7 linked regions of the Canis lupus familiaris genome follow. The protein of the gene in region 1 interacts with the protein of each later gene in a pairwise test. Links are inferred from orthologs where the notes say so. Each region holds a gene or a part of one and is shown in the gene's direction. Other genes may lie near its edges.

Evidence for each region.
Region 2: the proteins of RBPMS (region 1) and keratin-associated protein 19-7-like interact in binary tests that used the Homo sapiens proteins (3 or more experiments, as listed by UniProt). The two-hybrid records come from large-scale screens. The link is inferred for Canis lupus familiaris from reciprocal best matches to the Homo sapiens genes RBPMS and KRTAP19-7.
Region 3: the proteins of RBPMS (region 1) and EXOSC1 interact in a two-hybrid assay, tested with the Homo sapiens proteins (2 studies listed by BioGRID). The link is inferred for Canis lupus familiaris from reciprocal best matches to the Homo sapiens genes RBPMS and EXOSC1.
Region 4: the proteins of RBPMS (region 1) and GSE1 interact in binary tests that used the Homo sapiens proteins (3 or more experiments, as listed by UniProt). The link is inferred for Canis lupus familiaris from reciprocal best matches to the Homo sapiens genes RBPMS and GSE1.
Region 5: the proteins of RBPMS (region 1) and POGZ interact in binary tests that used the Homo sapiens proteins (3 or more experiments, as listed by UniProt). The two-hybrid records come from large-scale screens. The link is inferred for Canis lupus familiaris from reciprocal best matches to the Homo sapiens genes RBPMS and POGZ.
Region 6: the proteins of RBPMS (region 1) and PHF1 interact in binary tests that used the Homo sapiens proteins (3 or more experiments, as listed by UniProt). The two-hybrid records come from large-scale screens. The link is inferred for Canis lupus familiaris from reciprocal best matches to the Homo sapiens genes RBPMS and PHF1.
Region 7: the proteins of RBPMS (region 1) and C5H11orf87 interact in binary tests that used the Homo sapiens proteins (3 or more experiments, as listed by UniProt). The two-hybrid records come from large-scale screens. The link is inferred for Canis lupus familiaris from reciprocal best matches to the Homo sapiens genes RBPMS and C11orf87.

The regions. Positions count from the first base shown.
Region 1 is NC_049237.1:34,777,312-34,781,418, reverse strand, and holds the start of RBPMS (RNA-binding protein with multiple splicing), read left to right. Parts: upstream 1-1,307; 5' UTR 1,308-1,589; intron 1,590-1,687; 5' UTR 1,688-1,826; intron 1,827-2,913; 5' UTR 2,914-3,169; coding exon 3,170-3,235; intron 3,236-3,700; exon of another isoform or gene 3,701-3,715; coding exon of another isoform or gene 3,716-3,739; intron 3,740-4,107.
Region 2 is NC_049252.1:25,888,098-25,890,012, reverse strand, and holds keratin-associated protein 19-7-like, read left to right. Parts: upstream 1-1,229; coding exon 1,230-1,415; downstream 1,416-1,915. UniProt on the Homo sapiens protein: In the hair cortex, hair keratin intermediate filaments are embedded in an interfilamentous matrix, consisting of hair keratin-associated proteins (KRTAP), which are essential for the formation of a rigid and resistant hair shaft through their extensive disulfide bond cross-linking with abundant cysteine residues of hair keratins.
Region 3 is NC_049249.1:10,920,242-10,924,309, reverse strand, and holds the start of EXOSC1 (exosome complex component CSL4), read left to right. Parts: upstream 1-1,268; 5' UTR 1,269-1,295; coding exon 1,296-1,362; intron 1,363-1,469; coding exon 1,470-1,585; intron 1,586-1,632; exon of another isoform or gene 1,633-1,950; intron 1,951-3,694; coding exon 3,695-3,769; intron 3,770-4,068. UniProt on the Homo sapiens protein: Non-catalytic component of the RNA exosome complex which has 3'->5' exoribonuclease activity and participates in a multitude of cellular RNA processing and degradation events.
Region 4 is NC_049226.1:67,907,270-67,911,558, reverse strand, and holds the start of GSE1 (genetic suppressor element 1), read left to right. Parts: upstream 1-1,489; 5' UTR 1,490-1,587; coding exon 1,588-2,913; intron 2,914-4,289.
Region 5 is NC_049238.1:61,167,856-61,171,900, reverse strand, and holds the start of POGZ (pogo transposable element with ZNF domain), read left to right. Parts: upstream 1-1,245; 5' UTR 1,246-1,426; intron 1,427-3,726; 5' UTR 3,727-3,837; intron 3,838-4,045. UniProt on the Homo sapiens protein: Plays a role in mitotic cell cycle progression and is involved in kinetochore assembly and mitotic sister chromatid cohesion.
Region 6 is NC_049233.1:2,998,893-3,003,151, forward strand, and holds the start of PHF1 (PHD finger protein 1), read left to right. Parts: upstream 1-1,459; 5' UTR 1,460-1,588; intron 1,589-2,306; 5' UTR 2,307-2,325; coding exon 2,326-2,484; intron 2,485-2,576; coding exon 2,577-2,658; intron 2,659-2,766; coding exon 2,767-2,862; intron 2,863-3,292; coding exon 3,293-3,393; intron 3,394-3,486; coding exon 3,487-3,635; intron 3,636-3,835; coding exon 3,836-3,931; intron 3,932-4,108; coding exon 4,109-4,177; intron 4,178-4,259. Other genes in the region: kinesin-like protein KIFC1, read left to right, coding at 151-195. UniProt on the Homo sapiens protein: Polycomb group (PcG) that specifically binds histone H3 trimethylated at 'Lys-36' (H3K36me3) and recruits the PRC2 complex. Involved in DNA damage response and is recruited at double-strand breaks (DSBs).
Region 7 is NC_049226.1:23,323,554-23,327,553, reverse strand, and holds the start of C5H11orf87 (uncharacterized protein C11orf87 homolog), read left to right. Parts: upstream 1-1,200; 5' UTR 1,201-1,393; intron 1,394-1,851; exon of another isoform or gene 1,852-1,858; 5' UTR 1,859-1,952; coding exon 1,953-2,077; intron 2,078-2,424; coding exon 2,425-3,280; 3' UTR 3,281-4,000.

The DNA.
Region 1 (4,107 bases):
CATGACCTGAGCCAAAAACAGATGCTCAACCACTGAGCCATCCAAATACCTGCAATTTTATTTATTTTTGAAATCTCATCAGTTGTCTCATTCTGAGCAAGCTCTCTATCTAGGTGGGTCTCCCCTGCAAAATAATGCCTAAAGACTACTACCATGAATCTGCCTAGTGTCCTTGTGGTGGCTCCCTATGCTGAGACACTTCCACTTATTCAGTCCCTCCTGCAGGGGCTTTGTAAAGATGTGATGTCATTCAAGGCTGAAAATCAATCTCTGATAAGACTGTGTTCATTTATTCAAAAATATTCACCGAGAGCCTACTATGTGTTAGGCACTGTCTAGATATTGGGGACACAACGATCAAATCAGACAAAGATCTTCTTCTAGCCCTTATTTTTTTTTTTTTATGCCAGATGTCTTTGACTTTTAACAATGGACAAAGTGCTGGCAAAAGAATCAGGTTCTACATTTGGAATTAGGCCACATTTCCCTGGACGGAGGTAGCAGCAGCATCCTGGAATCATACAGCACCTTCCACCGACTTGTAAGTGGAGTCTGACTGGAATCATCAATGACTAGATCAACTGTCACTTTTCTTGGGCCTTTGCCAGGCTCCAGCAAGACAATATCTTTCTGTGGAGTGTATTCAGTACCTGGCAATGGCCCAGGAGGGCAAAGGGCCTGTGTTTATTGGTGGCGCAGGGGCCCAAGACCACCACGCAGCCATTGCTCAGGAACACATTGCCCCCTCGTGGTTCTTTACGTAATTGAGGGAGGGACTGGGATTGGAAAGGCTCTCCAAATTTCCAGATTAATCGTGGTGGCCTTTGCCTCTTCTGAACTTCCATTGCAAGTTCAACAGTTTCTTGGTTTATTTTCATCCAGGATACGCTTTCCCCCCACCCCCCCCACAGAGGCACATGACATCCTGACAGCAATTAAACCTATTTATCAAAAGCTTCAGACTTCCCCCACCCCCAACCCAAGAAAACCCCAGTAAGTGAATGCAAGAATTACCACTCTGTTTTTCTTCACAACGCTCGTCACACAAGTATTTTCTCTGCTTTCTGCTATTTGAACCAGGATCGCTGATCATGTGGCCATGGAGTTGTTTTGGGTGTCTCGTCTCCACAACACCAGTTAAAACTCCCTAGAAGCAGGAGCCTTATCTTCACCCCCACCTCCACCCCACCCCCAGCAGCACTTAAACCAGTACAGGGTGAAGAATGTCTGGCGGGGAGGGGGGAGAGCAGAGAAAGATAAACAGTGAAGCGAGCAAATAAATAGAAGTTGTGATTGGTACTGTGCTGGAAAGGAACAGCATGTCGTGTGAGAGAATTCCTGGGCGTGGGAAGTGAGGGAGAATCTTCTGATAGAGGCCCTTTTAAATTTATGTGTTTATGATACAGGAATGGAGAAGCTCTCTATGGCCCCGGGAAAATGGAAATTTCCTTAATAATAATGCTAGTTTCCCTGTTCTGTAAACTTACACCGGGCAGGAATGAGTGCTGGGTGCTCTAGCTCTACCAACCTATAATCTCCTCTAATTACAACCCCCCTGGGAGGTAACTATAACTACTCCCATTTCGCAGGTGAGGAAACGGAACCCAGGCAGTCCTCTGGCGCGTGGTGCTTAAACAGGTACTGGGTGCCCCCCTCCCAGAATGCTGAGCCCTTTTTCTTCCTTAAGGGGCTTTGACCCTCCGAAGATCATCTGGGTTGGCCTCCAGCTCGGCTCGCCGTGAGCAACAGTCACTTAGCCAACAAGTATTTATTGAGTGCCTACTGTATACCCGGTAGCGTATTTAACTAGCCGTGGGATTATCAAGGTAAACAAGGACACGGTGAGGCTGGCGTTGCGTTGTGGGGAGGCTCCCCCGGAAGGGTGAGGGAGGCAGGCAGGTAAGCAATTCCAGGACGGTCTGCTGAGGGCCGAGAGAGGGGCCTGAGCAGAGGGGGGCGCGAAGCCTAGCAGAGGGCGAAGGCCGGGGCTGAGAGCCTGGGAGGGCCCGGCGTGGGAGGTGGGTTTGAAGCTGCGCCCTGGAAACGCCGGCCCCGAGCCGGCTGCCCCCGGACCTCGCTCGTTCTCTCGCATCCTGTCATTTCGAGCTGCCAAGTAGGAAGGGAGGAAATAGGTCTGAGCCGGTGCTGCAGAGGCAGGGCAGGCTGAGCGACGGGGGCGCGATCCCCACGGCGGTAGCCCACGGCGCGTCCCGGGCGTCGCGCGGGCCCGGCCCGGCGCCCCGAAGCCCCTCTCCAAGCGGGCGCGCACCGCCGCGCGAGCTCGCCAGCTCCGGGGGCCCCCGGGGGCCGGGGAAGCGGGAGGACCTGGCCTCCCTCCCTCGTCCGCCTCGGCCCCTGCCCTCCGACCTCCCGCCGAGTCGGGGGGCTGGGGTCGGCCGCTTCCGCCCGCCGCCCCCCGCCCCTCCCCGGCGCGCGCCATCCGGCCGCGGGCGGCCCCTCCTCCCGAGGGGGGCTTCTGCGTCCCGCGTCCCGTCCCTCCGGGCTGAAGCTGGCAGCCCACGTCTAGGGAGGGCGGAGGGAGGAGGAGGAGGAGGGGGAGGGGGAGGAGAGAGGGGAGGGAGGAGGGCGAGAGAAAGGGAGCTGCTTGGATCCCGTACTTCTCAGAGCCTGCCTGGAGCGCGCACTCAGCGGCTCTCCGGGTCCCAGCGTCCCAGCCGCGCCCCGCACCTCCTCCTCCTCCTCCTCCTCCTCCTCCTCCTCTTCCTCGGGTCTGGGCACCCCTCGCCCCCTCCCTCCGGCCCCCGCCAGGCTCGGGCAGCGGCCGCCCCCAGCCCCGACGCGGCCACATCCCCAACTCTCTGGGCTCCCTCCTGGGACGCGCGCCCGCGCCCCATCCTTTCTTCCTTCCTTCCTTCCTTCCCTCGCGCCCGCCCGCCCGCCCGCGCTCTCCAGGTCTCCCTCCCGGTCCCGATTGTCTCCGTCCCCGCCGGCCCGCGCCTCGCCCTGCCCCGTGTCTCCCGCGCACTTCCTGGGTCGCCTCGCCTCGCCTCGCCGCGGAGCCCGAGCCGCCGCTGCCCCGGCTCCAGCCCCCGCAGCCCGCGGCGCCCGCCCGAGGGAGCCCCGGCGCCCGGGGAAGGGACAAGCGGGCGAGCGCGCCCTCGCCCCAGCCCCGCGCCCCAGCCCTGCCCGGCGAGGAAGGACCGGGAAGATGAACAACGGCGGCAAAGCCGAGAAGGAGAACACCCCGAGCGAGGCCAACCTTCAGGAGGAAGAGGTACCGGGGGGCTCGCTGCGGCGGGGGCACGACCTGGGCGCCGCAGTCCGGGGTCTGGGCACGGCCCTCGCCGCGACCTGTGGCCCCGGGCCGGGGGGGGGGCGGCGGGGGGGGTCTCTTCGCAGAGCGCGTTTCTAAAGTTGCGTAACTTTGAGGACTTTTCGGAGTTTGCTAAGTATAATGCTCAGCTTTGTCTGCGTGGGATTTTAAAAGCGGAATCGAGAGCTGACTCCCGGGTGACCTCCGGTTCCTGGGACCCAGAGGGTCGGGACCGAGTCTGCGACCGGGGCTGGGAGTGGGGGGTGTTTGTGCGTGCGGCGTGAGGAAGGAAGGAACTCGGGGAAAGTTCTCGGCGGGGAGACACCTTCAGTTCCCTGCCCCCTCCCCCTCCCTTTTCAGTGTTAAAAGTTCTCGGTGCGATCTCTTTCCAGCTGAGGCATTCTGGATTAATAGATAACTCATCAGCTGCATTCTTCTCTGATGAGTCAAAGACCTCGAATCTGGGTGATTAGGGTTTGTAAATTTTAGGGGCGATGCGGCTGGGGTGGGGTGGGGGAAGCCGAATAAAAGAGTTTGAGAGTTTACAACTCGCCAAGAGATCATCTTGGCTGTTTTAATAGCACTTTGACTCCTGAGCGTGAATTTTATGTGGTGCGTCCGTAACAAAGTTAAAAACGTTGCGGCGGCGGAGCGTTCCTTGGGGTAGAAACCCCATTTATCCGTGGGAGGGAACACCTGAACGGACGGTTTCAGAATTTTGTAGTTAGGATATTTGTGGTATTCTTTCAAGTGGCTTTGTTCCTGCAGGTATGTTACCTGGAGTCCAAGAAACAGTACATGTTTCGCCTGCTTTTTAAGTTCTCCCATAGCTG
Region 2 (1,915 bases), on another chromosome or scaffold:
GATGCTGTGTTCTTTTGAATATGTAATTAGAGCCAAAACCATTTCCCCACCTCATACTTATACCTGGTTGGAGTAATGATTCATGGAGGAAGAAAGTTGGGTGGTGTTTTGAATGAGATTTGAAAAAGATCTAAGATAAATGGATAAATGATGAAGGCAGAGAAAGAGGGGGAAATGATGTAGGAAGCCAAATGTAATCTGCATTTGTGGTAGCAGTGAGACTAGAATGTATTATAGAGAAAGCACTCAGGATATATATTTTAAAAAAGTACTGTGGGAAGACTTCTCACAAGATGGATTTTTGATCAGAGTGATAGTCTTTCCACTAGTGATTACAATTCTGCAATGTATGTATTTATTTATTAAAGATTTTATTTATTCATGAGAGACACAGGGAGAGAGGCAGAGACATAGGCAGAGGGAGAAGCAGGCTCCCTAGGGGAACCTGATGTGGGACTTGATCCTGGGACCTTGGGATCACGAACTGAGTCAAAGGCAGATGCTTCACCACTGATCCACCCAGGTGCCCCTGCTATGTATTTGAACCAAAATAAGTATGTTGTATTTAAAGCCAAAATTAAATCTATTAATTGTACATGCCCCAAATTTTAAAACTCTAGAAATCAGGTGAGCTTTTGTGGTTGTTGTTTCCTGGTACACGTGGCAGGTGAACTAAATCTGTCTTGACTTAAAATATTCTTTTATATTCTAAAGAGAGGTGCATCATTTGCTTCTCATGATACAAAATACATGCGTGCCTTGTGAAGAAATTGGTAAGCTTAAGGGACTTGATTTTAATTATTTTTTGCTATTTTGTAGAACTAATTACAACAACCCTCAAATGCCAGTGATGAGAAGATATTTAATTAGAAATTCAACAATATTTAATGTAACTGATGTCAAGTGACTGGCATTCGAGTACTCTATTCAGGGTTTGGTATGTCAATACTTTGAAGAAACATCAAATCATTCTAAGAAGATTATAGCAGCAAGCTCTGCTCTACAACCTAACTATGTAGCCAAGCAGGTTTAGGCATTCTTGTAAGTGTGGTCGGGGGACCACAGATTAATACGTTGGGTCAGGCAAATATAATTCATGGAATGACACCAAAGGAGGGGCACATGTTTTGTCACATTCTCTGATCAGAGTATATATGCCTCCTTGTAAAGATGTCGACATTCACACTCTGACTCTTGCATTCAACCGCCAACTCACCACCCTTGACACCATGAGCTACTACGGCAACTACTATGGAGGCCTGGGCTATGGCTGTGGAGGCTTCGGTGGCCTGGGCTGTGGCAGTGGCTGGGGATGTGGCAGCTTCCCGAGACTGGGCTGGGGCTGGGGAGGCTACAGATATGGCTGCGACCGCCCACTGTGCTATGGAGGATATGGATTCTCTACCTTCTACTAAACATACTGTTGAAATTGAATGCAAAGAGAAAGCCTCCACATTTATTTGGTCCTATTTTTGTAGTTCGATTCCCAAAACATCTATCCTATATTCTCCAGGACGAATCAATAGCTATTTATCAATGGTTAAACTGCTTCTACAAATATTTGGTGCTTTTTACCTCCAGAACCCATCATCTTAAATGAATATTCAATACGTGAAACTGTCCCAGTTTGTGTCCTCATTTTGGTTTACTTCTCTTGCCACCATTATCATAATGTTATCTTTCTAGAAGACCTTGAAGAAAATTTGTATTTTTGCTTTTGTCCAATAAAATGATTACTCGAAATCTAAATAGCCTGGTTTTGTTTGATGTTTTGATGTCTTGATTTTTATTATTTTAACATCTTCTTTTGCAACAGATATAAAAAATTAGCTTATGAAGCTGCAAGGTCTGTGGCTATTGGTTATAGAGTATGATGCAACAATTTCTAGTTCACCACATTATACAAGCTTGAGAA
Region 3 (4,068 bases), on another chromosome or scaffold:
TTGAACATAGAGTCCCTGATTTCTCAGGAAATTGAGTTAAAACAGAACTCAAAAAAAAAAAAAAATTGTGTGTATGTGTGTTGGGGTGGGGAATGGAGAATCAGGGCAAAGCAGAGCTTCACTATCACCCCAAGCGCAAGCCTTTAGCACTGATCCCTCAGTAGCAACCACAGGCCATAGTGACATATGCCACCAGATTAGATGGGATTGAAGGCCACAGCACTCCCCTCTTTCCAAGGCTCTAAGTCACCATCTGTTTTCCTAGGGGAAACGATTGGTGAGGGCTGGAGGGTTTGCACAGGAGGGGACATATGCCAAAGTCACCAGAGGGCAAGAGAAACTAAGATGAAAGTCGTAGCAAATCTCATATGGACAAAGATGCTGTTCTCGGGATGTCTGCCTATCTTAAGCAGTAGCTGTCACTCATCGGTAAGAGCAGCATTCTACTCACGTGCAGACTTCCCTTCCGGACTAACATGCTCGAAAAAGAAAAAGTTATGAATGGGCCCACACGACCTGAGCTCCGCTTGAGAGGATCCGACTGCAAGACCTGAAGCTGCAGTCACAAAAATCCGGAAAAGGCTTTATTTCTGAATGGGGTGGTGTGGTCAAAGTGCGATAGAAGAAGTAAAAAAAAAAAAAAAAAAAAAAAAAAACCTTGGGTTCCGGTTTGGGCTCTACCTTGAACTGTCTTTGAGCCACTGGACAAGTCAAATCCTGTCTCTGGATCTGAGTTTCCAAATCTCTACAATGGGCAAGTTGGGTTGGCTAACCTCCTTCCAGCTCCAAGCGTTACAGCTGCCCCGAGAGTGCACTCCCCCAGGCTTGTGCAGGGCACGGCCGTGCAGGGCGCGACAACGAGAGAACAGGAACCTGAGCTCACGAAAAGGCCCCAAACAGGCCCCGACCCTACAAAAAAGGGCAGGACTGGGGAGCAAAGGCCGCGGCTCCGCTCTTACCTGCCGCCTGCCGACTCCCCAGTCAGCCAAATGGAACCCCGCAGCCTCCGCCGCCGCTCACTGCCACCCCCGCCAGCTCTGCAACCCGGCCGGGCCGGTCTCAGTCCAACCAACCATCGCCGGCCACCCGAAGAACCAGCCTGCAGACTGGGACCCGCTGCCAGCCCATCCTGGACCACAGGCGCAAGCGCAGGCGTCCCGGAGCCCCGCCCCCGCCCTGGTCCCGGAGCAACCTGGGAAATAAAGTTTGACGGAGGAGGTGCTCCCGAAGACCACGTGATAATTCGCACCAATTGGCGCGTTTCTTACTGCAGAACTGCTCCTGAACTTTGGCCAATGAGAAGCCGACTTCGTTTCCCTCCAGTGGCAGTCATGGCGCCGCCCGTGAGGTACTGCATCCCGGGTAAGTGTGCGGGGACCGAAGCGAATTCTGGATGGGACAGGGAGGCAGGAAGGCTGCATGACCGACACCCTCTGAAGACCCATGACTGATGCAGCGTTTCTCTTCAGGCGAACGTCTGTGTAACTTGGAGGAGGGCAGCCCGGGCAGCGGCACTTATACTCGCCACGGCTACATCTTTTCGTCGCTTGCTGGCTGCCTGACGAAGAGCAGCGAGAATGGCGCGGTAAAGGGGGCTGCTTCCCATTTCCTCCTTCTCTGCTTTTCTTTTAGGCTGCTTTTGATTTCGCGGTCGATAGGAAAGGGCACTGCGGACGCGTCTTTAGGACCTCAGCAGAACAGCTGGTCTCCGAGTTTCTTCCAGCTGAGGTCTCCACTGCTGGGCACCTCGCCACCACAGGCCAGATGTGGTCCCGCTTGATTCTGTTGCTGACATTCGGGGAAGGAAGTTAGGGGACGAGCAGAGGCGGGTTCCGCCTGCAGTGAGCTGAATCTTGTCCGGATGTCGCCTCCCTTTCTGGTTTCATCTTGCTCCGCTATTCCCACCCCACTCTGCAGTCTAGTCACACAGGCTTCTTTGTCGCTGGTGGGGTAAGCTCTCTTCTGCCACAGAACGATGAACACGCTGTTTGTCACGCGCCCATCTCCTCCTTAGCCTCTTTAATTCCCACCTACTTTTCAGATGGCCTCTCTAGTGTCACTTTTATCAGAGTAGCCCTCCTAGACCCACTAGTCAGGGAAAGGAGTTTTGTGAGCTTTTATTTTTCGTTTTGTTAAACTCTCACAAAGAACTAAATTTCTTTCCTCTGTGTGCTCTTCTTTGCATAAAATTAAGCATTCGGTTACCTGTTCCTCCTAGACTCTTCCCTTATTAGACTCTAAGTTCCACGAAAACAAACCTTGCCACCATACCTTTAGTGCTGAGCACAGCAGCCTATGCTCAATAAATGTTTGTTGAATGCTTAACACTGATCCAGGATTAGCCCAGGATCGGATAAACAGTCTTTGAAGGACCCCCTTAAAGACAGGGAGCATTAATAGAGAATTCAGAATTAGAACATTTAGGTACTGGCTAACTAGACCTTGTTTCTGCTTTAGGTTAGAAACTTGATCTCTCTGGTTTTAGTTTTTGCTCAGATGTAAAATGAAAGACTTTTTAATCAATTTTAAGACTGTAACAGTTCTAAGTTTGTTCGTTTCATAGAAATAGATATCTATTGAGCATTTTCATGTGCCAGGCACAATCTTTACCTCTAAAGATATGGTAATGAGCCAAATACACATGATCCCTGCTACCAAGGGACACAGACATAAATTACAAACAAGTAAAGGTTCAAATTGGTTTATGGCTACAAAAGTCATGACTGTTTTTGAAAGAATATTACAGGTTACCATGAGAACATGTAAAGGACAAACCCATTGTAGTCAACAGAAGTGATGTTTAACCTGAATCTAAAGGATAAAGAAGAGTTGAGTGGGGAAAAAAAAAAAAAAAAAAGAGTTGAGTGGAGAGCACAGTCCTGGGAGAAAGAACAGGTTGAACACAAATCCTGAGATGGGAACATGTTTAGTGCGTTAGTGAAACTGAATGAAGGTCCGAAAACTGAAGCATAGGAAACAAGGAAGAGGCAAGTAAAAGATGAGGTTCAAAATATGTCTTGGGGTGCCTGGGTGGCTCAGTTGGTTGAGCGTCCGATTCCGGATATCAGCTCCGGTCATGATCTCAGGGTCCTGGGATTAAGTCCGGTGTCAGTGCCCCCTCCCCCCCTCAGTGGGGAATCTGCTTGAGATTCTCTCCCTCCCTCTCCCCACTTGCGCATGCTTTCTCTCTCTCTCTGAAATAAATCTTTAAAAAATACATATTTTATACCAATAGCCAATACCATGCTCAAAGGGAAAGCTACAAGTATTCCCTTAAAATAGAAAAAAATAAAGTATGGCCATTATTATATAACATTTATTTGGAAATTCTAGCCAGTACAATAGAGTGAAAATCAGAAGGAAGTAGTAGAACTTTGAAGAGAAGAGTCAAGTTATCCACAATTGATTATATACCAAGAAATTCCAAGAAAACCACAAAAAGAAAACTTGTTAGAACTGTTCTGAAATGATTAGATTATGTCTTCTGGTAGCATCTTTCTTTTGAAAAATGGCCCCTTGACCTTCCTATTTGCCTTAAATTTCTAAGACTGTCTGCCCTGGGCACATATGAGTCTGTAGTCCATCTGTGCTTGTGATCTCAGCTGTGGACCAAAGCATTCCTACATTATTCTTAAGCCAGATACCTTTATGGAAGGCTTAGTCAGGATCTCACATTTTATTGTTCTGTCTATAGCTTCCTGTGATTTCTGTGATGAGAGAAACAGAATCTCAATTGCTACCAGATGTGGGGACTATTGTAACCTGTAAGGTAAGTAGGTCTTAACCTCCCTTCTTAGGACACCTGTTCAATGGTGAAATCATGATCATTGTGGAAGTGCTCTGTCTTATGTGGCAGTCACTAGCCATATGTGGCCATTTAATTGAAATGAATTAAAATTGAAAGTTCATTTCCTCCATCTCACTAGCTACATTCCAAGTGCTCACGTATAGTTGACAGCTGCCTTGTTGGCCAGCACAGAACATTTTAATCATCACAGTGTTACTGGACTGTGCCGGCCTAGAAAGTTCTGGGATAGTGATCAAGGCAGCCAAGTTCAAGCATGCGTA
Region 4 (4,289 bases), on another chromosome or scaffold:
GCGACTCCGGGCGGGACACGGAATAGATAGAGGAGCCGGCGAGCCATTGTGCGCAGCCCGGGCGGCGGGGAGGGGGGGGAGGGGGAGGAGGGGAGGAGGGGAGGGAGGGAGGGAGGGAGGGCCGCGGGGGCGGGGCGGGGCGGGGCGCCGCGGCGGGCGGGCGGGCGGGCGGGCGCGCGGGGGAGGGATTCCCCGCCCCCGCCCCCGCCCCCGCCCCCGCCCCCGCCCCTCCGCGCGCCGCCCGCCGCCCCGCCCCCTCCTCCCCAATTAAATGACCCCACGCTTTGGCAGGCGCCGGAGCTCGCACATGCGGCCGCCGCTCCAGCCGCCCGGGGCCCGCCGCCGCCGCCGCCGCCGCCGCCGCCGCCGCCGCTGCGTTCCGGGCGCGCTCGGCGCGGCGCCGCCGGGGGCTCGGCAGGCCGGGGGGGCGCCCCTGCGAGCGGCCGTGCGCCCCCGCCCGCGCCCGCTGCCCGCCGCCAAACTTCGCGGCGCGCTCATGCCCCAAGTTGGGCGCGGCGGCGGCGGCGGGCGCTGAGGGCGGCGCGGGGCGCGGGGCGCGGGGCGCGGGGCGCGGGGGGCGGACGCGGCGCGGCCATGAGCGGGCGGCCGGCGCCGCTCTCCCGCAAGCAGCGGCTCATGGCAGCCGTGGGCGAGCGGGCGGCGGCGGGCGGCGGGGCCGGCGGGGGCGGGGGCGGGGGCGGGGGCGGCGGGGCCGGCGGGGCCGGCGGGGGCGCGCCGCTCTCCTGCTTCATCTGCGGCGGCGGCATCGGGCGCGGCAAGGAGCTGAAGCTGCAGGTGAAGCAGCCGGCGGCGGGCGCGGGGGCCGCGGCGCAGCCCTTCTTCCCGTTCCTGCAGCAGCAGGAGCCGGCGCCCGGCGCGCGCGAGCTGTGCCCGGCCGACGGCTGCGTGCTGGTGTGCGCCGTGTGCCGCTGCTTCCTGGGCGAGCAGTGGGCCGCGTTCGAGCGCGCCCGCACGCCGGTGGACAAGCGCATGTACTGGCTCAAGCGGCCGCACCAGTGCGAGGCGGGCGCGGGCGCGGGCGCGGGCGCGGGCGGGCGGCGCGGGGCGGCCGGGGGCCCCCGCGAGTGGAACGTCGCCTACGCGCTGGGCGGCGCGGCCGACGAGGCGCGGGACTCGGAGCTGTCGGAGCTGTCGGACGCCGACCCCCTCTCCGAGGGCGAGCCCGCCGCGCGCGACGCCGCCAGCCCCCGCCGGGACGGGGCGCCGGCGGCCGGGGGTCCCCCGGGGCCCGGCGCTCGCGGGGGCCGCGGCCAGGAGTGGAGGCCGGCGCCGGGGCCGCCCCCGGGACCCCCCGCGGGGCCGGGCGGCGCGCGGGAGGACGGGGCGCCCCCCTCGAAGCAGCGCGGGGACGCGGAGCCGCGGAGCGGGCCCCGGCGGCGGCGGAAGGCGGCCGGGCGGCACTGGGGCCCCGAGGCCCGCGCCAGCGTCCTCAGGGGCATCACGGACCCGTGGCGAGGCGCCCCCGGCCAGGGGGCCCCCGCCGACGGCGCCAAGGGAGGCCCTCCCGGCAGGGCCCCCAAGGGCCCCGAGAGCAGGCCGGCTGCGGACGCCCGCGGGAGCTACTGCATGTCGGAGGACAGCGACATCAACATCACCAGCGAGGAGGAGGACCGCAAGGAGCAGCCTCTCTCGGGCCCCAGAGACAAGGAGAGCGGCGGCTGCGTCCCCTGGGGCTCGCTGGCGAGCCGGGCGGCGCCACCGGAGGGCCTTTGCTGCTACATCTGCGGGTCGGCCCTGGCCCCGGCCTCGCAGCACCAGATCCACGTGCAGAAGCAGGAGAAGCTGGCCCAGGCCCCCTTCTTCCCCTTCCTGTGGCTGCACAGCCCCCCTCCGGGGGCCCAGCCCATCAGCGACGGAGGCAGCACCCTGGTGTGCCCGTGCTGCTTCTCCTCCCTCATGCAGCAGTGGCAGAGCTTCGAGCTGGCCAACGTGCCCGTCCTGCAGCGACTGTACGTCGTGCCTCTGAACAGCCACGCCCCCGGCATGGCCTCCAAGGGCCGGAGGCTCCCAAGGGAAGACGGCCCGCCTGCGGGGGCCCTGCCCGAGGCCTGCTACCTCTGCGGGGAGGACTGTACCCAGGACGCCCGGGCCGTGGCCTTCAGGATTCTCAACGGCAGCGCCCGGGGCTCCATGCATTTCCCCTTCCTCAGCCTCCTGCCCTGTCCCCCCAACGCCCGGGGCCCCAACAAGCGTTGCGAGGTCCGAAGCTGCCCCAAGTGCTTCAGCGTCCTGGAGGACGTCTGGGCCCTGTACCGGGCCTGCCAGAACGAGGAGCTTATCACCTCCGTGCAAGGCTTCCTGGGCAGGTACCACCAGGCCTTCTCCGCCTCGGAGCCCGCTCTCTGCGAGCCGCCTGCACCGGCCCGGGGCAGCCCGGCATCTGTCTGCTACATCTGTGGGGCCGAGCTGGGCCCTGGGAAGGAGTTCCAGCTCAACGTGAACCCCTCCAGCCGCCTGGGCGAGAAGGAGCCCTTCTTCCCGTTCCTCACCGTTTACCCGCCCGCCCCCCGTGCCAGGCCCGCCGACTCCACCGGCCTCGTGGCCACCTGTGTGCTCTGCTACCACGACCTGCTGGGCCAGTGGCTGCAGCACGAGGCCCGCAGCGCCCACCACACCGTCAGCGCCTGGTCTCGCCAGTACCAAGTGGAGACGTTCGTGTGCTTCTTTTGCCAGCAGGAGAAGAAGCGCTGTCTCGGACTCAAGGCCCTGCGGCTGGCGCGGCTGCCCTTGTTTCTCTATACCCTGCGAGCAAGCCACAGCCTGCTGGTGGACGATGGGCGGCAGCTGATCATCGGCGCCTGTGTGGAGTGTGGGACCCTGGTGTGTGCTGGCCCGGGGCTCGCCCGCCAGGGGTCCGTGGGTTGGAGCTCCCCAGTGGCAGCGGCGATGAAGGTAAGTCCTGGTTTTCTCTTCAGCCTCCGGTGATTTGAGTAGGAGAGGAAGACATGTTACTTTCTGTTCCTCTGCTGGGGAAGTGTTTGTACTGATTCCGTGTGATCTGTTCCAGAAGGAGCTTCCCTCCTGGGGTCACCGGGCCGGCGGCGCCTGGGGAGGGCGCTCGAGGTGGGGGTGCTGACTGAGCTGGGAGTCATGTGGAGCTGGGGGCACCTGGAGCGGGCTTGTGGAAGAGCAGGGCACTGCTGAACGCATCAGGCCTGGGCCTGAACTTGAGTGTGTGTGCAGCGGAGTCCGTCAAACAGAGGAAGTTCGGGGCACGTCTGTCATCCGCCTGATAACATTGGTAATTAGTCCGGCCATGCAGGTCACTGGGAGGTCTGTGCACTTACCCGGTTGGAAATGCAGCGGAGGTGGCAGTTCCTCTCCGTGCTGGCGCTGGCACCGCTTCGCTCCTGCAGTTTTCCCCCAAGTTCACACTTTTCCTCTGAGGCTCTCCGGTTGCTTCACAGCAGATGGAAACAGATTTTCAGACGTGGGGGTTTGGGACCCGGGGGACAGTGGCCTAAACAGACTTTCCCCCTGATGGGAAGAGAGGCTTTCTTCTCTGCAACTCAGCTGTGCAGGAGGGGGGGCGGCAGAGAGGCGGGGGGGTGTGTGTGGTGGCTGGCGTGTGCCCTGTTTATAAGGCGCCTGCCTTCACGCTGCCTGCCCGGGAGGAGCCAGACGGGCCTCAGTTAATTTTGGATTAGGCTTTGCAAGGGCCAGGACAGGACCTGCCTGCAGTGGGTCTGGGGAAATAGGTGTTTGTGAGTCGGGATCACCATGTACGGTGATGGCTACGGCGGGGGGGGAGGGGGGGGGGGGGTGTCGGGGAGGGGGCGGTGTCGTGAATCCTCATCGCCTGGAGGCCTGGTTTATTATAATCAGATGCCTGTAGTGGGAGCCACCAGCGAGGGGCCCCGCAGAGGGCCCCGTGGATGGGGAAGAGCGGCTCGGGCTTGTTCAGGAATGATTGTTGCATCTATTTGGAAGGATGGAATCCCCGTGTGTGGAATTCCTGGCTTATGCGTTCACTCTCAGGGGAGGTTGCATCTGTAAAGTGGGCGCACTGTCCCGCTTCCCTCCAGTGCTTGCCCTATGCTCTGCTCTGCCCAGGCTTTCTTCATGCTCTGCCCAGGCTTTCTTAATCTGCCAGTGTCCCTTTTGGACCATAGAGATGTAACTGGGGGCTTTGGTAGTGGTCCTCTTCTTCTAAATGGATGCATGTCTCATTCCCCCCCTGTGGGTACTGGACTTCTCATTTGCAGCCTGTGGTAGTCCAGTCTGTGGGGTCTGCTGCTGGGAGTCTGAAGAAGTGCTGTTTCCAGAAG
Region 5 (4,045 bases), on another chromosome or scaffold:
AAATGACACTTTGAGATCATTCACATGTACTTAGTATGAAATGAGATGAAGTGGAATGAAAATGGACGGCATTGTGTACACACAGGTGCATGAGGGAGCAATTTGTAATGCCTAATTCCATCGCCTATTTTCAGTCTGGTGGTTGAATAAAGTGCACATATATAAAAAAATGAATAAATATGGTTCTGATTCTCCCCAATCTTGCACAAAGTACTTTGATCTACATTGGCTTGGAGTAAATATTTGTGTATTGCTTAGAGAGCAACAACATACTCACATATCCAAGGAAAATTTTACAATATTATCATCTCTGAAAGTAAAAAAAGGACTAAATTTCTTAGATACCTGGAAAAGAGGTACTTCTTGTTCGGGGAAAAATTACAGGTGGCTGGTCTTGAATAGACTCCTTTCTTTGAGCCAATCCCCCTCAGCCTTGATCGGAGCAAAAAGCACAGATGTAGAATCTATGGTTTCTTAGAATTGAGGATTTGTGCCGAGTCTATTGACAAACGGCTTCAAAGCAGTTTCCATACATGAGTCACTTTGATAAGCAATATATGTGATTTATTTCCAGAATCCAGTAGGGTTCAGAGTAAAAATAGCTTTTAAAAGTTCTTCACTTAAGACTACTGCCACAAGGCTACTTGGCCAAATGCCTCCTGATGAAGAGTATGTGCCATTCTGCTGCCTTTGTTCCAAGGACAGTTGTTGGTGCCATTGGGTCTCACCACCTGGCCTGTGGCATGAGGTTCTCCTCTTGGTTAGGTACAAGACTTGAGTGGAAAGTGAGGAGGTGCCCAAAATTTCTTTGGAAAGTCCAGGCAAGTGAATTGGGCACTATTTTCCTTGGAAATTCCATTTTCCTCATCAAGATTTAGCTGTTGCTTCTGAAGCTAATTATTCTTATTTCATTTTTCTTAAATGTTTTTTATTTATTTATTTATTTATTTATTTATTTATTTGCAGGTCCAGACAAACTTGACTGGAAAAGAAGCCCGGGCAGGGGTTAGGATGAGCCCATGACGTGTCCCACGCCGCAGCCAATTGCGAGGCCACGAGAGGGGGAGGGCGGAAGTGACGAGACGTATCCCTCCGCGGAGCGAGAGGGTCGGTGGGGGGAGTCGGCGTCTCTCTCCCCCGCGCCAGCTCCCGTACACGGAGCCGCATTCCTTGGCCCCCCCACCCCCTCCCTCGGGGCCCCCCCGCCCCCCTCGGGAAAAAAATCCACCCCAAGTCACTGGAACCCGAGGGAGGTTTCCTTTCCCCCGCGGGGAGACGCGCTCTCCACGGTTCCCTCTCAGCCGTCTCCCCAAGCCCCCGTCCCCTCCCCTGCTCCCACCCCCTTCTCCCGGCGCCGGGTGCGAGGTCCCTTTAAGGCGACGGCGCCTTCCTCGGGTCAGACTACCGGCGGCGACGACCACGGGAGGTGAGTAAGCGAGCGGGCGAGCCTTCTTTCTCCCCACCCCCTTCTCCCGGGGGTTCCGTTATCTTTTCGCTCGGCGAGGCGCTCGGAGGCGAGACAATGAGAGGGGGATGGGGCGGGGGCGCGGGGGGTGGGGGCAGGGGCCCGGTGGCGCGCGCCCCTGCTCCCCGCGAGTGCAGCGCGGCCCGGGCGGCGGCGGCGGGCATGGGGCGCGGCTCGCGAGCGCGTGCGCCCCCGGAGCCGCGGGAGCTCGGGAGCCGCGCGACGGTCTGGGCCGGGCGGACCCTGCCTGCCTGCCTGCCTGCCTGCCGCCCGCCCCCGCCCCCCGGCGTCCTCCGCGGCGCGCGCGCGCGCACTCGCGCCCCACGGCCCCGCACACACCGACGTCCACACGCACGCCGGGCGCGAGGCGTCTCGGAGGAGTGGGCGGGCGGCGGGCGGTGGCCCGCGGGGAGGGGGAGGGGGAGGGGGAGGGGGCGGGCGGCTGCGAGTCGGCGGGCGGGGGGCGAGGCCGCGCCGAGGTGACGTCCCGGGGGGAGCGCTCGCTTCTCCCGCCGCGCCCTCCCGCCTCCCTAGGACTGGGGCGCTGTTCGGGCGCGAGGAGGAAAATGAGGGGTCGCTGTGCCGCTCCCTTGTGTTACGTAATCGCCGCTCGGTCCACTAGTACCTCCCAAGCCGTAGTGCGCTGCAGTTAGTTTACCAAGTCTCCTCCCTTGGCCCTAAAATTTCTCTGCGTTGGCGCCGTGATTTGTAAAATGGAATGGGGCGGAAAACCTTTCTTTCGGCTGATTATATCCTGCCGCGGTGGGCGCCATGTTCCTCCCGGGGACTATTTTGTCTAGATTCTCAGCACCTCCTGGGGAGGACTGATGTCGTTGATCCACCTGCCTCCCCTCCTTTCTGCCACTGACCCTGTTTTCCTCTCCCGCCAGACGCGGGATTCCTCCACGCTGTTCCTAACTGTGGACATAGCTCAGCTCACTTGTCTTGGGCCTTCTTTAGCCCAGAAAAAGAGATGGGAAGAGGCTTGGAAGTCAGTTGGCCCCATCTCCTCTCTGAGATGCACACGGGAAGACAATTTTACCATCTCAGAACCACCACCTTGTTGCGGGTTGTAGCTCAGCCTTCTACATTCTAGACACCTCCCACTGCAGTTCAAAACCCTGCAGAAATGGAGTTTTACTTTCAAAGGAGTTTCCCCATCTAGTTGGAGGGGAAAGAGCGGGGCAGAGAGGGCTGCTCCTTGGTGAACAACATTGAATTTCCAGACCATGATGTGTTGTTCTTGGGACCGGGAGTTGGACTCTGAATTCGAACTCGTTCTCTAGATCTTTAAGTTCGGGATAGCTAAAAAGTACCTTGGAGGTTGCTGAAAGTGCTGTGTTAGGGGCTTCGTCCTCAAGTCTTTTCAGGTGGGAAGGGGAGGGTGTGTGTGGTGCTATCTTCTCTAAATTTTAACCGCCACATAAAGAACTGTTGATTTAGCGTAAAAGTGCTCAAAATACAATCTTAAAACAATTTCATGGCAAATTACGTCCTTGATTTCCTTCCCCTTATACTACGGTTATGACACACCGGTCACGTTGGTGATGTATCTCAAACTAAAGGAACTAAGAAGATGAAGACTCTTGGGATGAACAGGATTTTGTTCGTTTCCACCCCAACCTTGAACCAGTGATATAATCTTGGAAAAGGTGACCCACTGACCTCTGGGGATCATTCAGAGCCTTCCAGGGGACCTGAGAGGTCATAACTATTTTCAAAGTAGAAAATACTAAGACACTATTTATCTTTCTTCCAGTGACATTTGCACTGATGGTCCAAAAAGCAAAGCTGAGTAAAACTGGTGGTCCGTTAGCACAAAGCAAGGCAGTTACACGAAACACCGTGTGAAAATGGCCTTGATGAAACAGTAGAAATGATTTTTGTTAAATCTCAACCCTTGGGTACATGGTTTTTTTAAGTTTTAAGAATCTTTGATCGAATAGGAAGGATGCATAAAGTACTTTGCTGACTAAGGAGGTACGGTCCTTCTCATAAGGAAAAGCGCTTGTGAGATTGAGTTATGAGCTGCTTGTTTCATGGAACAGCATTTTCACTTGAAAGAACTGACAAACTACAGTTTTTCACACTTTAAGGTTGCGCTTATATTTTCTTGACAACGAGGCGAGCATGTTATTTTGAGGAAACAATTGACAGTATTTGTTACCAATGATAAAAATTTGAGAGTGAAAATTAGAATTTGTCAAAAGTTGACATCTCAGGTTTAACAGTTTAAATATTTTCTATATTTATATTTGTAGTGAAATATGTCAACATTTGGAGGATGGGCATCGCAGTAAATCTATATTTTCCAAGCAACCAATGCTGATATTTCACAATCATCATAAGTAAATATCCTTTCAGAATGCAAGGTACACTAGTGGATTTTAATGTAATAAAATATGAAAAGTTCATTGATAGGGATTCAGATTCCAAGATGCAACTCTTCTTTAAGAAACTACCATTTGGGGACGCCTGGGTGGCTCAGTGGTTGAGCATCTGCCTTTGGCTCAGGGCATGATCCCAGTTTAAGGATCGAGTCCCACATCGAGATCCCTGTGAGGAGCTTGCTTCTCCCTC
Region 6 (4,259 bases), on another chromosome or scaffold:
TAACTGAGACCAGGCTGAATCTGCCTTCAGAGCCTTTGTTTTAGTATTTTCTGAGGGCAGCCCCAATATTGGGGGTGGGGGGTGATCTTGGAGAAAACTGTTATTTTGGTTACTCACAAAATATTTTTATTCTAAAACCTCTGCCCGCAGGTGAACCAGTGTGTTATTGGTACGGCCCAGGCTAACAGGAAATGAAGACAGATCCAGATCCTCTGTTTGGGAAGGGGGGGTGGGGGTGGCGCTGAAGGATGCTTTGTTGGGGGGAGGGGCGCTCTGTGACCTGGGTCTATCAAATAAAGAACAAGTTTTTTTTCTTTAAATAAAGGTTTTGTTAACAATGGCCCGTATCTGTAAAAATGGGAACTGTGGATCGTCTACTCTGCCGAGTATTTGTGTTTTGCAGAGCAAGGGTTTCAGCTTTTCTCTACCTGGCTATCTCCTGGAGACTAGATGGTTACCCTGGTTGTCCGCCTCTAGGAGATGTGCCCACTGGCCGACCGCCGTCACTGGTTTGCCGCAGGCCACCCAGCTCCACGCGGAGAGCTCGTCTGGTGGGTGCGGGAAAGTGGAAGCCCGAGTCCAGAGGCCGGGCCAGCGAGCCCTCCTGCAAACTGCGGGCTCTCCCTCCCGCTCTTTCCTTGCCGTCCCATTCGAAGAACTGGGGCCGGCCCGCCCGCTGCCCATTGGCTGGCTCTCGGCGGCGTTACCGCCTCGCTACTAGCTCTCCCGGTCCGTGTACCCGCCCTACAGGCGCTGGGTGGGCTGCACGCCCGCTGACTCGCTCGCGCCAACCGCCAACGGCCACCGCCCGGCAAAGGAGGGGCTCGGTCCACCCAGGTGCCGCGCGCGGGAGGGGTCACGCATGCGCAGAAGCGCGGCGGCGGTGTGGCGGGGGGAGACTTACCACGGGGAGGGCGGGGCCGGGGCAAAGGCGGGAGGAAGGCGGGGCACTCGAGGGAGGAGGGCGTGGCGGGGGCGACGGGACGGGTGAATGGGGGGCGGGGTCGTGAACTGGGGCCGAGGGGCGGGACTTGGAGTGACCATGGAGGTTGGGGGGGCAGTTAACGGATGTGGCATGGGGCGGGGGCCAGGCTGGAGACCAGCTGCGGGGAAGGGGGGGATTCCCTGCTGCCCCGAGGGCGGATCTCCCTCCGAGGAAGGGGCTGCAGGGATTCCCTCTCGCACTGGGTCTTGACTTTCCACCCGCCCCAGCCGTGGGGAGGCCGCCACCCGTTCGGCGCCCTCCAGGCCCGTTGGAGGTGAGGGAGGTGGGGTGAGGTGGTGCCCGCCCCCCCCCCGGCTCCTCCTTCCCCTCAGTCCTCCCCTCCCACTACCCTCCCCCCGAGCCGGTTTGTCCCTCCCCTCCCCTCCCCTCCTTCCCCCCGCCGCCTCCTCCTGCCGCTGCCGCTGCTTTGGCTGCTGCGTCATACGCCCCAGAGCTGCCGGGACGGAGGGGCTGGGCCTGGGGACCCCCCGGCCCTTGCCTGCCCGCCCTCCGACGCCCAGACGTGCCCTCCCCGCGCGGGGGGTTCGCCTCGGTCTCCCACGTCTGCCTCTGCCCGGCTCCCGGCGGCCCCAGCTGTCACTGGTAAGGAGGCGGCGGGAGGCGCCCGTGGGGGGGGGCAGGGAGCCGGGGGTCGGCGCGCAGGGCGCGGGCGGGAGAGCCTCGCCGCCCAGGCATCAGCTCGCGCTGGGCTGACTCAAGTCCCCTCTCGGACTCGCTGTCCTGGGGAGTAGAGACCGGGACTGGGACACGCCCCCCTCCCAGGGCACTCAAGGAAGTTATCTAACCCGGGGGACAGGGAGCCCCGTATTTGAGGGTGACCTGCCATAACCTGGCATCGGGATTATTGTTCTGGAGACACAGGGGCCCGGGGAGGCAGCCGTTTCTAATTTGGAAAACATTTCCAGAAAAGCTCCCAAAACACATTCTCTGGGTAGCAGAACACCCCAATTACAGTATCTCTAAACAGAAGGTGACAGTAGAAACTGAATGGTAACCTTTGCTTCTGCAACCATCATTCCTCCTAAAATCTCAAGGCCAGGATACAGTATCCCAGGGGAGCTCTGGAAGCTGGGAAACTAGAGAACTAGGTTGGGGGGTGGGGGGTGTTAGGGAGAGGAGAGCCAGTCACCAGAGTTGGAAAAGCTGGAGTCATGAAGCTTGGGAGGGGTGCTGTGTGATTTCCTATCCAGGTATTTCATATTTGGAGACTGGTAGCACAGCTGCTTGAGTCCTTGAGGCATAGAAAAATGGGGACAGTTTCTCAACATTCATAACCTTCTCCCATCCCACTTCTGGATAGCCCCCCCCCCCAGGATGCAATGGCACAGCCCCCCCGGCTGAGCCGCTCTGGTGCCCCCCCACTTTGGGACCCAGCCTCCCCTGCTCCCACCTCAGGCCCCAGGCCTCGACTTTGGGAGGGTCAAGATGTGCTGGCCAGGTGGACGGATGGACTGCTATACTTGGGGACCATCAAGAAAGTAAGACCTTTGACTTCTGACTTATTACCTTCCCCCCATTCTCCTTATGTAGTTCCGATTCCTGTTTCATCTCCTGTGCTCATCCATTCCAGGTGGACAGTTCCCGGGAGGTGTGTCTGGTCCAGTTTGAGGACGATTCCCAGTTTCTGGTTCTATGGAAAGACATTAGCCCTGGTGAGACCTTAGAGGCCCAAATATATGCATGCTGTGGAAAGCAGAAACCTGGCTTGGGGGATGTAAAGGGGGCTTAAGGACAGGCCCCACAACACTGTTCCCTCACAGCTGCCCTCCCCGGGGAGGAACTCCTCTGCTGTGTCTGTCGCTCTGAGACTGTGGTCCCTGGAAACCGGCTGGTCAGCTGTGAGAAGTGTCGCCACGGTGAGAGGGCAGGATACCTAAATGGTCTAGCTTGCCCTGAACCTTCCAGGCTGCCTCTAAGTCTTCCCTCCACCACTGATCCTTAGGCCACCTGTCCTGGCTGAGTCCCCAAGCCACTGCTCTGGCCAGTCTGCTCAACTCTGTAACCTCTCTTCCAGCACAGGGAGAAATAGCCATGGAATCAGGAGGTGTGGGCTTTGTAGACAGAGGATGGTTCAAATACACCTTTACTAACCATAAAACCTTGGGCAAATTCCCAAGCCCCTAGGAGCCTGTCTCCTCACCTGTAAAATAAGGGTAACTTATCTACTGCAGCCAGATCACAGTCAAAGATGAAATGAGGTGGCCCAGACTCCTCCTATCCCAGTCACTAGCACACACAGGTATATTGTGCAATAAATGGTCTACCATCAATATTATCATTATTCAGCTTATCACCAGGACTGCCACGTTCCAAGAGCCCCAGCCCCTGGAGAGGGAGAGGGCACATCCTGGGTCTGTCGCCAGTGTGTCTTTGCCATTGCCACCAAGGTAAGGTCACCATTCTGTGGGAGCCTCCCCCACCACCTCTCCCAAGCCTTCCTGTTCCCTACCCGTCTGAGGTGGCCTGTTTCCTCCCTGCAGAGGGGGGGTGCACTGAAGAAGGGCCCCTATGCCCGGGCCATGCTGGGCATGAAGCTGTCACTGCCATATGGACTAAAGGGGCTAGACTGGGACGCTGGACATCTGAGCAACCGACAGCAGAGCTACTGTTACTGTGGTGGCCCTGGGGAGTGAGTAAATGAGGGACAGGGGTGGAGGAGTGGTGGGGAGGGAATGAATGATGGAGTGGGTGGGGGGATCCTGGGGAATGAAGGAGAAAAAATAGGATGAAGGGAGTGCTGAAGAAAGCAGAAGTAGGTGGTGAGTAGGGTTTGGGGCCATTCAGGTCGGGGCAGTGTCTGGAGGTCACCAGTCCTGTGTTCCCTCTCAGGTGGAACCTGAAAATGTTGCAGTGCCAGAGCTGCCTGCAGTGGTTCCATGAGGCCTGCACCCAGTGTCTGAGCAAGCCGCTCCTCTACGGGGACAGGTGAGATGGGGCTGGCTCTCTGGGAGCCAAGGGAGAATACTCTTGCCCTGCTCTACCCTCTCAGGCCCCCATGCTGCTTCAGCTCCATGTCTCCCCAGCCTCTGAAGCTCACCTCCCCTACGCACCCCATCCTTATTCATAAGTCCTCCACGCTCTCTCCCCCTCGCCCACTTCCAGGTTCTACGAGTTCGAATGCTGTGTGTGTCGGGGTGGCCCTGAGAAGGTCAGGAGGCTACAGCTTCGCTGGTGAGTGGGCACCACCTCCACATGGCTCCTCTCTCAGCACCCCCAGCCTCCCACCTTGGGCTCTCCAGGCTTTTGTATTGAC
Region 7 (4,000 bases), on another chromosome or scaffold:
AAACTTTTGCTCCCTGTGTCAAACCCTCTTTTTTATAAAACCGTCTACTAGCAGGCAGATAGGGAGGTGTTGGTCATCCCTGCTGTCTCCCAGTTTGGATGCAGAGCAGCAAAAAGCAATATTTACTGCACCACTCAATTTTGCAAGTAAATATGTTAGACTCAAAGATGGGAAGAAAACGAGACAGTGAGAGAAGAAGGAAGGGCACATTTTATAAGACAATGGAATGTTTCCTAAGATCATACAGTGTCTTTACGGGCTATTCCAAGCTGGTTCCTCCTATATAAAAATGAGAATACTTCATTTTAAAGTTGCCTACTGTAACCCGATGTACTGTTCATGTATTTCCAAAGGCCCTAAAGCAAGAGTTGATTAATCTCTGCCTAGATTTAGGCAGGCTGATGAGAATCTTGCAGGAAGTTCTATCTGTTTCGCTGAAAGGCTATTGTTAACACTACGGCAAAGTAAGGGGTACACTCAAAATTTTCATAGGACAGTTTATTTCTGTACTCCTCTGAGTTGTTTTTGCCTTCCTGTCTTATAAGCCTTGTGTGTGCTTTGTGTGCTCACGAGAGCACACAAAGCACACATTAAAAGAGAATGAATGTTGAATATATGGAGTGGGTTTTGGGCCTGAAGATGAGTGTGTGAGTGAGTAGAGGAGAAACATGAGTCAGGTGGAGTGAGAGGTAAGTTGAAGACTCTGGTGGAGAGGAAAACGGTTAATTTGCATTGTTCGTGACTAAATACGTGTTCAGGTTTGTATTTTATGCTCTGCCACACGCGTTCAGAAATGCCCTTCTCATTTCTCATATTCACGCAGTTTCCGTACAGAACCAGGCCAGCATAGACAGGCTTGCAGAGGAGAACAATCCTCATCAGCCGAGGAGAGAGAGAGAGAGAGAGAGAGAGGAATCAAATGTGTACCCGGGGGGGGGGGGGGGGGGGGGAGATGGCTCTCTGGGGTGTAAAAACGTGTTCCTGGGACCATGTGGAAAAGGGTTGAGGGCAGGGCTTCCTCCTTCCGAGGCATAGGAGTGCAGAGGTGGGCTGCTCCCGGTGCCACGGTGGGGGTTGCTCCTCGCATGTAGCCCCTGGCAGGGGAAGGACAGGGAACTAGGAATGCGTGTGGCAGAGGCTCACTCTGCCAGGACGAGATGTTGGGGTATGAGGGTGGGGTGGGGGCCCGAGGGGTGGCTTGGAGCCCTAGCGGTGGCTGCCTGACGTCACCGGCCTCTCTGGCAATAGGCTGCGAGCTGAGCTCCCCGAAGCGGCGGCGGCAGCGGCAGCGGCAGCCGGGCTCGGTCGCCGGCCCCTTCACTCCGCGCCTTCTGCAGCCGCCACTGCAGCCGCGCGGCGGGGGCTCCCTCCCTGCAGCCAGCTAGTGGCCCAGGTAAGGGACGCGGTGCCGCTAAAGGTCCCAGCTGCCGGGTGGCGGGGCGCGAGAGGGGCGGCCTGCGCAGGCCCCCCCGCGGCAGCCTCGGCCCCCACCCGGCCCGGCCCCGGCTCGCGCGCCTCCCCTCTGCTCCGCAGTGCAACAGTTTGCAGCTGCCTCTGGAGAAGGGCGGGCGAGGGGCTGTGCTGCGCGCTGCGGGTCTACCCGGCTCGGGTCCCCGCACAGAGCCTCGGCTGGGGCTGGGAAGGCTGGAGGGGAGGTCCGTTCCCCAAACTTTGCGAACGAGAACCCTCTGCCTTCCGTTTCCCGTCCCCCTAGAAAGAAGCAGGATACTGCCGAGTGCGGGGCACAGGGAGACGGAGAGAAGGGGGCGTTTGCGGGGACGTGCTTTAGCTGAGAAAAAGGTGTTTCAGCTGCCTTTTTTTTTTTTTTTTTCCTGGTGTGTGTGGGGGGAGGTACCAGGGAAGGAGGCAGAAGAAAGGATGGAGCGCGATCCAGCGCGGCAGCCGCGGCCACGGACAGAGGCGGAGTAGGATGTGGTTGCTGTGGTGCCCCCATGGGAATGGGACTTGAGGGCTCTGAAGCCGGCCAGGGAAGAAGAGTCTGGAGGGGGAGGGAGGAGCAGGCAGGACTGCGTACCCGGAGCCCGCTCGCCCGGCGGCCGGGGTGGGTGCCGGGAAGGTAGGATCCAGGGGGAGACATCCACCGGGAGGGCGAAGGAAGGGGGAGAGCGGGGCTCGGGCGGCAGGGACCGCGTTCCGGGGCGGCGGCGTGTCTGTTGCGATTAGAAAGTTGTGGGGGCGCCGGGAGCTGCCTCATCTGCTGAGTAATCTGGCTCTCGGCGGGGCGGGCGCAGACCCCTTGCCAGCGGGGGGCGAGGGCGCGCGGCCGGGGGCGGGCGGGGTCGGCGGCTGCGGAGCAGGCGGGCAGCGCCCGGCGGACGCGGGGTGCCCGGGGGCCGCGCCTTCGGCCCTCCGCGCCCCCCCGGGCAGCGGCCGGGATCCTAACTGAGCCTGTTCTCTCTGCAGCCTGGTGCCTTGGGAAAGGAAGAGGGCGCGCGGACACGCGTTCCAGGCGGGGTCGGCGAGGATCTCCCGGGCGCCGCTCGCTTCCCCGCCGGCTTGCTCGCCCGCGGCTGCTCCCTCGGCCCTTCGCCCGCGCGCGCATCCCCTCCCGCACCAGGGAGTAGTTCTGGGTGGCGTGGGCTCCGTCCTCTTCTTGGCTGGTGGGAACCGTGTGCCTGAGAGAGGAAGTCTGGTGGGCCCGGCCCCTCCCAGCCCAGCGCCGATGAGTGCCCGGGCGCCCAAGGAGCTGAGGCTGGCGCTGCCGCCGTGTCTCCTCAACCGGACCTTTGCTTCCCCCAACGCCAGCGGCAGCGGCAACGCCAGTGCCCGCGGCCCGGGTACAGGCGCCAGCGGAGGCGGCACCTGCATCACGCAGGTGGGACAGCAGCTCTTCCAGTCCTTCTCCTCCACGCTGGTGCTGATCGTCCTGGTCACCCTCATCTTCTGCCTCATCGTGCTGTCCCTCTCCACCTTCCACATCCACAAGCGCAGGATGAAGAAGCGGAAGATGCAGAGGGCTCAGGAGGAGTACGAGCGGGATCACTGCAGCAGCAATCGCGGCGGCAGGGGGCTGCCCCCGGCGGGCGGCCAGGCCCCAGCCCAAGCCAAAGAAACCCGGCTGGAGAGGCAGCCCCGGGACTTTGCCTTCTGCACCCCCTCCGACGCCTCCTCTTCGTCTCTGTCCCCTGGCCTCCCGTGCCAGGGTCCCTGTGCTCCTCCGGCTCCACCACCCGCCCCCAGTCCGCAAGGAGCACAAGCAGCCTCCTCCTGTTTGGACACAGCTGGCGAGGGCCTTTTGCAAACGGTGGTACTGTCCTGATCATTTAGCCCCCTCTTCCCTCCCCTTCCTCATCTCCAGCATCTTTGCCGTCCTTGCTTTCTCCCCCTCCATCTTTCCTCTTCCACTTTTCTCTGGCCTCCCTCTCTTTTTCCTTCTTTCCGTCTCTGCCCTCCCCTTACTCTGTTTCTCCTCCGCCGAGGCACTGTGCGGTATTTGTAAATATTGGGCGAGGAAAGTCTCGGAAGAAGAAATAACGCTGATAATACTTTATTATTAATATTTATAGTAATTATTATAATACTAATAACACAATCCAAGCGCATGACAAATCACATAATTTCTCATTGTCAATGAAGGATGCGTCTTCCCTCTCCACCCTGCACCCCCCCCACACACACACACAATAAGGAGGAGAAACCGCACAAGCTACCAAATATAAAAGAGGCATTGATTCCTGGAGCAAAGGGAGTGGAGGGGGCCCGGTGTGTTGTACATAGCTGTCAAGTTAAGGTTCAGTTACCTTCCCTTCCTTCCATCTCCCCCCACCCCCACCCAAGCTTTCACTTTTCCTTCAGCTTCCCTCCTTCCCCATTCCCACCTTCCGCCGGGCTCAGGCAATAGTACATTTTAAAGAAAATGTCTACATTAAGCACCAGAACTACAAGAGGCCACAGAGACAGTCCCAGACAAACGTGTATGACATGTACTGGTCTCTGGTCAGCCCTCTTTCTCACCCCTTAGTTAACCATTCCTTTTTCC